2 linked regions of the Danio rerio genome follow. The protein of the gene in region 1 interacts with the protein of each later gene in a biochemical or structural test. Links are inferred from orthologs where the notes say so. Each region holds a gene or a part of one and is shown on either strand. Other genes may lie near its edges.

What was found.
Region 2: of the proteins of sufu (region 1) and fbxl17, one has a biochemical effect on the other in vitro, tested with the Homo sapiens proteins (2 studies listed by BioGRID, with this or other methods). The link is inferred for Danio rerio from reciprocal best matches to the Homo sapiens genes SUFU and FBXL17.

The regions. Positions count from the first base shown.
Region 1 is NC_133188.1:12,249,936-12,254,531, reverse strand, and holds the start of sufu (suppressor of fused homolog), read right to left. Parts: upstream 2,841-4,596; 5' UTR 2,630-2,840; coding exon 2,478-2,629; intron 2,260-2,477; coding exon 2,125-2,259; intron 1-2,124. UniProt on the Homo sapiens protein: Negative regulator in the hedgehog/smoothened signaling pathway. Down-regulates GLI1-mediated transactivation of target genes. Down-regulates GLI2-mediated transactivation of target genes. Part of a corepressor complex that acts on DNA-bound GLI1.
Region 2 is NC_133183.1:1,642,959-1,647,539, reverse strand, and holds the start of fbxl17 (F-box/LRR-repeat protein 17), read right to left. Parts: upstream 2,822-4,581; 5' UTR 2,727-2,821; intron 1-2,726. UniProt on the Homo sapiens protein: Substrate-recognition component of the SCF(FBXL17) E3 ubiquitin ligase complex, a key component of a quality control pathway required to ensure functional dimerization of BTB domain-containing proteins (dimerization quality control, DQC).

The sequences.
Region 1 (4,596 bases):
TTTCCCCCATTTCTTGGGTCCAAATTGACTGAGAAGAAGCAATTTTAAGTTCTACCCCAACGTCCTGCTGGCTTGCAGAGACCCATACAAGTGGATGCTGCTCTCTCATTGTCGGTAATCGCCGATGTTATTTTCAGTCGAAACTCATTTTACACGGTATGATTTGAATCGGCGACAGCTCCAGATATTTAGCGTGCCAAATTTCTCACAGGTGTCGGCGACTCATCAGCGATTATCTCAGATAGCGTCTTGGATAGTTCACACTGTGTGATTGTTACTCGCGTGAACGAGCAGCTATTTGCCTGTGATTTCAGGAATTTGTCTGCGATTGCTCAAAACCTGTGGGTGAGTCAAAATCGGGGCTGAAATCATGCAGTCTGAACTCTGCATAAGTCAGATCTTAATAAATGGCTGTTAAAACATGAAGCCTTTTGGATTTCCACTCTAGATGGGTTGTCTCCAAGAGGTTTAAATAAGGAATCTGATATACTTTATATATATTATATATGATATACTATATAATGTTTATTCAGTTGTTTGGGTAAAAGTTTTCTGGCTATGTTTTGTTGCTTTTTTTGTTGTATTTGGATTGATTTATTTTTGTATTTTTATTTTGAATGTGTAAGTTGTGTAATGTACTAATGTGCATTTTTCTATTTTTTTGTGGTAAGATTACGTATGAGATCAACTGATCCAGAAGTATATGGGACATTCTACCAGAAACATACATTATCTGTCCCAGAAATAAAAACATAAATGCAGTAAATAAACAGTATTTCATCCCAAAAATGTCTAAAATGGAGTGATGGTTGATTTCTGGGGTTGAATTCTGTAAAGGAACATGTCTTCATTTGTTTCTTCATTTAAAACACTTTACATTGTAAACTCTGTCATTGTCATTCTCCTCAGCCAAGTTGTTTCTACAGCTTTAATAGTTTTGTTTAGCTATAAACTGCAATTTAGAAGAACAATACTTCACTTATGAATACTTCATAAGTTTAAGTTGTTATCATTTACATTGATTGATCTAATAAAAACATGAAGTTATAAATAGGTTCTACAAATAAATGCTACAAATATATAACAAACAAATTTACAATTGTCCACATGTTTCTGTGTCCTGTCACATTTGCATTAAATTTAACATAAAATGCTTGCATTAAAACGGTCGTGCCGAACTGAGTCTGGTTCTCTCAAAGTTTTTTTCTTCACTCTCCTATTGGTGAATTTTTTTTCCCTCTCCGCTGTCGCCACTGGCTTGCATGGTTCAGGATCTGAAAAGCTACTCATCGATGAATTTGCTCTTCAGTGTTTGGACTCTCAATAATGACTTCAAACCACACTGAACTGAGCTAAACTGAACTGAACTTAAACACTAAAAACTGAACTACCCTGATCCAGTTGCTATGACCATTTATGTGAAGCTGCTTTGACACAATCTACATTGTAAAAGCGCTATACAAATAAAGCTAAATTGAATTGAATAAAACTTTTTTTAAGGCTAAGACTCAGAAGTGACATCATTTGATAAATAAGAAGCTGACGGAGATCAAGGATGTGTTCTATCCACTCAAGTTGATTTTATGTTTGTTTTTGTATGATTTTTTTTTTTTTTTGAGAACGACAAGCGTAGGTCAGGCCCTGTTGCGTTTTTATAAGTGAAAATGGTTTCTGGGAGAATGCCCCGAATAAAAGGAGCAACATGCTGTGATGAATACAGTCTGATGAAAAGACCATGTGCTCAAAACGTTACATGCATTGTGCTAGCCTTCTTCATTTAATAAATTGGTATTTTTGGATCTTTGGTGTTGCAGCCTTGTTTATTATATTTTTGCTGTCCAGTTCTGATCATGGTTTTCCTCAAAATAAAGGTCTTTTTTGTTGAAGTGCCTTGGCTCTTTTGAAAAATACTGTTTCACTATCATGGTTTAGAACCACAAGGTCTTACATTTAGAAAATTTTTGATTTTTTTTTTTTTTTAAATATGAAGTGTTTTATGAATTGTTTTCTAAGTTTGATCTCCACTTTCAGGTAAATAACAACATGGCTTGAACTAGACTAGCTGTCCTGTTGTAACAAAACAACACTGTAAGGTCATGACCTGTTATAATATGACATTCTTACTCGTGAACTCTGTTGTCTCCATACAAGTCACTGAGACCCAGGCTGACATAGTGCCAATGTTCTGGTACGTCTTGTCCAGGACATCCCACGTTTCTGTACATACTAATGTAATCCAGAGGATCTGGACCACCTAACCTGAAAGGAGGATTTTGAGAGAAAAGGGTGATATATTGAGATGGAGAAAAGGTTCACTGGAAAATTTGTTTTCTGCCTAGAAGTACTTCTTCCTTTCAGGCTAGAAAGGAAAACTATAATCTGTGAAACTATTCTGCAAGCTATATTCAATTATTTTGCTGCTTTAATGCGCACATAACAAGCAACGACATGACATTTGAATGTTTCAGGCGTCTCACCAATACTTCACAATGGCTGTGACTTGCAGCGGGTTCGCCTGGTCGGGATACAGACGTCTGCATTCCCCATAAATGGCCTGCAATCCCGGGGGAAAGATCGAGGCGAGGCCGAGGTGTGCTGCTGCTCCGCTGCTAGGCCGCATCTCATCCATCCCCGCACGGCCGCGCCAAACAGGGAAAAGTTCTCGAAAAGCAAGAAAATGTGTTGTTCTTTTCAACTTCCGTATTGGAAAAGGCGATAAAGTCACCGGTGCTGGAAAACGCTTTGTTACACTTTCGCCCCCTCAGTGAAGCCCCTGTTGCAGTTTTTCCTCTGTGGTTTGATGTCCAGAAAAGGGACGTTGCTACTGTGACTGACACATCATCCACTCAATGAGAATTGCCGTTAGAAAGGAACGATGTGAGAGCGGCGATGTGATTGGACGAATGTTTTGCGGAGTTTCTTGTTGATCCATGTGTAGGCGGGACTCTGTGGCATCCATAACAAAAATGCCATCAACATGAATCAACTCATATTGTGTTTATTTAGTATTAATTTACGATATTTTTGAAATTATTTTGTTTTCATAATGCTTCTTAAAAATGAATTTATTTTATTACAATGTACCAATATTATATTTCCATAGACAGAACCATTTGTGGAAGTTCATAGAAATAGAAATGGTGGAAGTTTAGTTTTAGCCCATTCTAAAATAAATAAAAATTAAACGTGCCATTTTCAAATTTCTTTCAAACTTTTTAATTACTTTAATTAGTGTCTTGTTTATTTTCTCCTGCTAACTACATTTTTAATTCAAATTTATATATTCCTACTTGTACACACCATGCATTAAAATATCATATATTTTATAGACTTTTTCTAATTCCCCATCTTTAACATTTGTCACATATTTCTTTCTTACTATTACCAACTTTTTATTTATCTTTTTTATATTTTATATTAAGATTTATAAATATTGCCATTTGTTCCTACCCTATTTCCTGTGTTTTTTACTATATTTTATTTATTTTTCAATGTACGTTTTTCATGTTTTCGTTTTGCCCAATTTTTTTTTATTTTAATTTTTTACATTTTCAATAGATTTACGCACGCAATCTAATTTTAAATAATACTTCTCAGCTTTTGTATGTGGTTTAATCAATGGGGGTTTAATACGCCAGAGATTTCATTAATATATTAGTTTTCCATTAAAAACACTAATGTTTATTGCCACCTGCTGGACATTTGCTGCATTTTATTCGGTCTGTTTGTTTGTTTATTTATTTATTTGTTTGTTTATTTGTTTATTTTTGATTGTAAATGCAATGGACCTTGTTCTCCATTATATCCTAAAACTGATATTTTGTTGGTTTGAGATTTACAACAAAGCAGATCGCGTTGCTTGACATTGTTTTCTTTTTAAATATACTTATTGTAAAATAAGACAAAAGCTTCTTGGTATTTGGATACCAAAAACGTGTTCTGTGTTTCATTTCAAGTTTTACACATAAAAAACAGTCGTGTCATGACATGGTAGGTGCTGCAGGCCTACTTTAGTTTTCATTTTCATTTTTACTATTACTGTATGTCTATCTGTATGTCTATCTGAGTAATGAACACTTCATTGCTCAGTCAGATGCAGCAGTAAAATCTTTCCATTCCGTTGAAAGATTTCCATTCCGTTGAACTTAAATTAATTATAAAACAAACATGTTAATAAGTACAGTGAAATCTACAAATATGTTAGGTAGGCTACTTATATTTCTTCAATATTTATTAGCAGGATTTTATTTCTTGTTGAATGAACAAAAAAAGTAAAATACAGCAATGTTTTGTATATTTACAACTTTGATAAAAAAAAATTTACACTTCTGATTGTGCCAGTAAGAGTAACTGTAATATGCGTAGTACTGCAAGGCTTAGCAGACGTTGGCTTCTTACAAAATACATCTCTCCCTCAAACAATGCAAAAGTCTTTAATGCAGGGCATGGTCGTGGCTAAAATCCCCTTTGACCCTTGGCCCCTTCATGCCAGAACTGGATTTCTGACATGATATCTGTTATTCAGATGGAGAGACTCAGATTTTTAAGGACTGGCTTCATAAGAAAATCTTTGGCTACTCTGCGTTAATTTCTTGA
Region 2 (4,581 bases), on another chromosome or scaffold:
CTCTCTCTGCTCTCAATACTTTCCTGTCTGAAACCTCCACTATCCTTCCCATATTAAAGGTGAAAAACCCTTTAAAAAATTATTATAAATAGAATATGTGATATAAGCGTGCGCTGCTGTAATAAACATTAGAGTAAACAAGTGCTAATCTATTCATTCCATTATTGCCTCCACCACAGTACTGTCTGCATGGGTTAAGAGTCTACAGGACAGATTTATACATCTCAAATGTGTTATTTAAGTGTGTGCTGCTGTAATAAACAATGAGAATCAACTAGAGCTAATATATCTGTACTATTATTGCCACTAGTTTACCACAGTACTTTCTGCATGAGTAAAGAGTCTACTGGACAGGTTTTTATTTCTCAAATATGTAAATAAAGTGTGTGTTTTGCTGTAATAAACATTGAGAATTAATCAAATGTGGGATTAAAGTCAGCACCAATGGCCTAGTGGTTAAGTGCGCTGACATATAGCACCATGGTGCTCACAGTGACCCGAGTTCGATTCCCAGCTAAAGGTCCTTTGCTGACCCTTCCCCTCTCTCTGCTCCCAATACTTTCCTGTCTGTAACCTCCACTATCCTTCCCATATTAAAGGTGAAAAACCCCTTAGAATAATTATTAAAAACTGTGTAATAAAGCGTGTGCTGCTGTAATAAACATTAAGAATCAACAAGTGGTAATCTATTAGTCCCATTATTGCCTCTACCACAGTACTGTCTGCAGAGTAAGTTACTTGACGATGTTTAAATGTAAAAGTCATTACTGCAGGAGTTTCACAACACAAAGCTGAAATAATAGCACACAAATGCAACAGCATAAAGATAAAGAAATATAAATATACAATCTCAATGTCTAATAATGTTTTATGCACACAATACCAAGTGATATCTTTGGTTTGTAATCATGAGGACGATCATCTATCAATGCTATTATTGCCACTAGTGTAGTCTAACAATACTTTCTGCATGTGTAAAGAGTTTACAGTACAGACTTATACATCTCAAATATGTTATTTAAGCGTGTTCTGCTGTAATAAACAATGAGGATTAATCAAATGTGGGATTAAAGTCAGCACCAATGGCCTAGTGGTTAAGTGCGCTGACATATAGCACCATGGTGCTCACTGCGACCAGAGTTCGATTCCCAGCTTGAGGTCCTTTGCAGACACTTCTCCTCTCTCTGCTCCTAATACTTTCCTCTCTGTAACCTCCACTATCCTATCCAAATTAATGCATTAATTTTTTTGTAATAAGTATTATTACAAAAATAAGTGATGCAAGCGTGTGCTGCTGTAATAAACATTAAGAATCAACAAGGGCTAATCTATCTATTCAATTTTTGCCTCTACCACAGTACTGTCTGCATGGGTGAAGAGTCTGCAGAGTAAGTTACATGATAATGCATAAATGGTAAAGTCATAACTCCGGGTGTTTCACAACACAAAGCTGAAATAATAACACACAAATGCAAAAGCATGAAGATAAAGCAATATAAATATACAATCTATCTGTCTAATAATATTTTATGCACACAATAACAAGTGATGTGAAGTCTTTGGTTTGTAATCATGAGGATAATCATCTATCAATGCTATTATTGCCACTAGTGTTATTTAACCAATATGTTACTTAAGCGTGTTCTGCTGTAATAAACAATGAGGATTAATCAAATGTGGGATTAAAGTCAGCACCAATGGCCTAGTGGTTAAGTGTGCTGACATATAGCCATGGTGCTCACAGCGACCCGAGTTCGATTCCCAGCTAAAGGTCCTTTGCAGACCCTTCCTCTCTCTCTGCTCTGAATACTTTCCTCTCTTTAACCTCCACTATCCTATCCAAATTAAAGCTGAAAAAACTCTAAAAAAATAAGTATTATTACAAAAATATGTGTAAGTGTGTGCTGCTGTAATAAACATTAAGAATTAAGAAGGGCTAATCTATCTATTCAATTTTTGCCTCTACCACAGTACTGTCTGCATGGGTGAAGAGTCTGCAGAGCAAGTTACTTGATAATGCATAAATGGTAAAGTCATAACTCTGGGTGTTTCAAAACACAAAGCTGAAATAATAACACACAAATGCAACAGCATGACGAATAATGTTTTATGCACACAATACCAAGTGATATCTTTGGTTTGTAATCATGACGATGACAATCTATCCCTACAATTATTGCCACTAGTGTACCACAGTACTGTCTGCACGAGTAAAGAGTCTACAGGACAGCTTTATACTTCTCAAATGTGTAAATAAAGAGTGTGCTGCTGTAATAGACATTGAGAATCAACAAGAGCTAATATATCCCTACTACTGCCACTATAGTGTACCACAGTAGTCTAACAGTACTTTCTGCATGTGTAAGAGGTCTGCAGGACAGATTTATACATCTCAATGTTATTAAAGCGTGTTCTGCTGATTGAGAATGAACTAGAGCTAATATAAGTACTATTATTTCCACTGGTGTACCACAGTACTTTATGCATGTGTATGAAGAGTGTACAAGACAACAGGGCTGCTTTATATATCTCTCAAATGTGTGCTTAAAGCGTGTGCTGCTGTAATAAACACTGAGAATCAACAAGAGCTACTGCTGTCAGTGTTGACGGAGCGGACTGTTGTTGTGTTTCATTGAGTGATAGTAGCGGGCGACGCCATTAAAACTCCGTCCTAAGAAGATAAGCAGGACTCGGTAAGTGTGCTAATAACCCCCGGCGGTGCTCACCAGCTCACGCGGCCCTCAGCAGCTCCGTCCCGGGCTCTCATAATCCGCACGACACGCTAACAGGAGCGAACGAACCGCGGTGTCAACCTGCTACTATATTTCAAAACACTTCCGGATTTCAAATAACAGAGGAAATCCCGCCCACCGCTCTCTATTAAAGCGGGCTGTCAATGGCTGGAGCTGCTGTCTGTATGGAGCGGATGGCCAATCATAAGCGCTTTTAAGAAAACTATTTGAATAAAACTAAACATGCTTGATTTGCGTTTGTTTTTCTTTTTTAAATTAATGTTTGAAAGAATATAATAGCTTGCAACAATCGTGAGACACATCTTCATACACCTCCAAGTCTAAATAGCAGTAAGAAAAATAAATATATGATAATTAAATAAAGAATCTGCATTCATGAATGAAGTCGTGGGCCAACACCACAATATTCAGTCATACATTTTCTTTTTGGCTTAGTGCCTTTATTAATCAGGGTTTGCCACAGCGGAATGAACCGCCAACTTATTTAGCATATGTTTTACACAGCGAATGACTTTTTAGATGCAACCCATCACTGGGAAACACCCACACACACTCATTCACATACACACTCATTCACACTTATACACTAGGGCTAATTTAGTTCATCAGTTCCCCTATAGCGCATGTGTTTGGACTGTGAGAGAAACCGGAGCACCCGGAGGAAACCCACGCCAACACAGGGAGAAGATGCAAACTCCACACAGAAACACCAACTGATCGAGCCGGGACTTGAACCAGCGACTTCTTGCTGTGAGGTAACAGCGCTACCCACTGCGCCACCGCGCCACCCACACCACAATAGTATCAACCAAAAATTTAACATCACAATTCCTATAAAAAGACAACTACCCAGGTTGCACAGAATTCTGCCCAGATTTGGCTCTTTTTTTTTAAGGCGGCACACAATACTTGGGCCAGATGACAAATGTAGTATTTGGGCCAGATGTTAAGGATTGATATGTAAATCTTGACCCCATTTAATATACATTTTTATTATTTTCAAATAAAGAAAAAAAATCCTACCAATCAGGTCGCTTCGAGAAAAAGCATGCCCACAGTACGCCTAAAGCGCACTGCTTCATGGGTTTATCAATTTCATTACAGTGCCCACAGAGCAAATGTTTTCTGGCCCAGCTCCGGCCCACACAATAACTTTTTTCCTTGGCCCAACTACCACAAGGAATAACGGTCCTGAAGTGGCCCATAACTGGATTAAAGACTGAAGCTCTGCACAAGACTTTTGGCCAGCGGAGAAATTAAAATGGTCGTGCCCAACTGAGTCTGGTTCTCTCAAGGTTTTTTTTCTTCACTCCATCAGGTGAAGTTTTTTTCCCTCTCCGCTGTCGCCACTGCCTCGCATGGTTCAGAATTGGTAGAGCTACGCATCGATGAATTTGCTCTTCAGTGTTTGAACTCTTAGTAATGTTAATTACTACTTACTTAGTAATGATTAAATCACACTGAACTGAGCTAAACTGAACTGAACTGAACTTAAACACTAAAACCTGAACCACACTGTTCCAGTTACTGAACCGCACTGTTCCAGTTACTATGACCATTTATGTGAAGCTGCTTTGACACAATCTACATTGTAAAAGCGCCATACAAATAAAGCTGAATTGAATTGAATTGAATTGTTTAAATCACACTGAACTGAGCTAAACTGAACTGAACTTAAACACTAAAAACTGAACTACACTGTTCCAGTTACTATGACCATTTATGTGAAGCTGCTTTGACACAATCTACATTGTAAAAGCGCTATACAAATAAAGCTGAATTGAATTGAATTGAATTAAAGACAAGGGCCACACATGGGCCATCACCG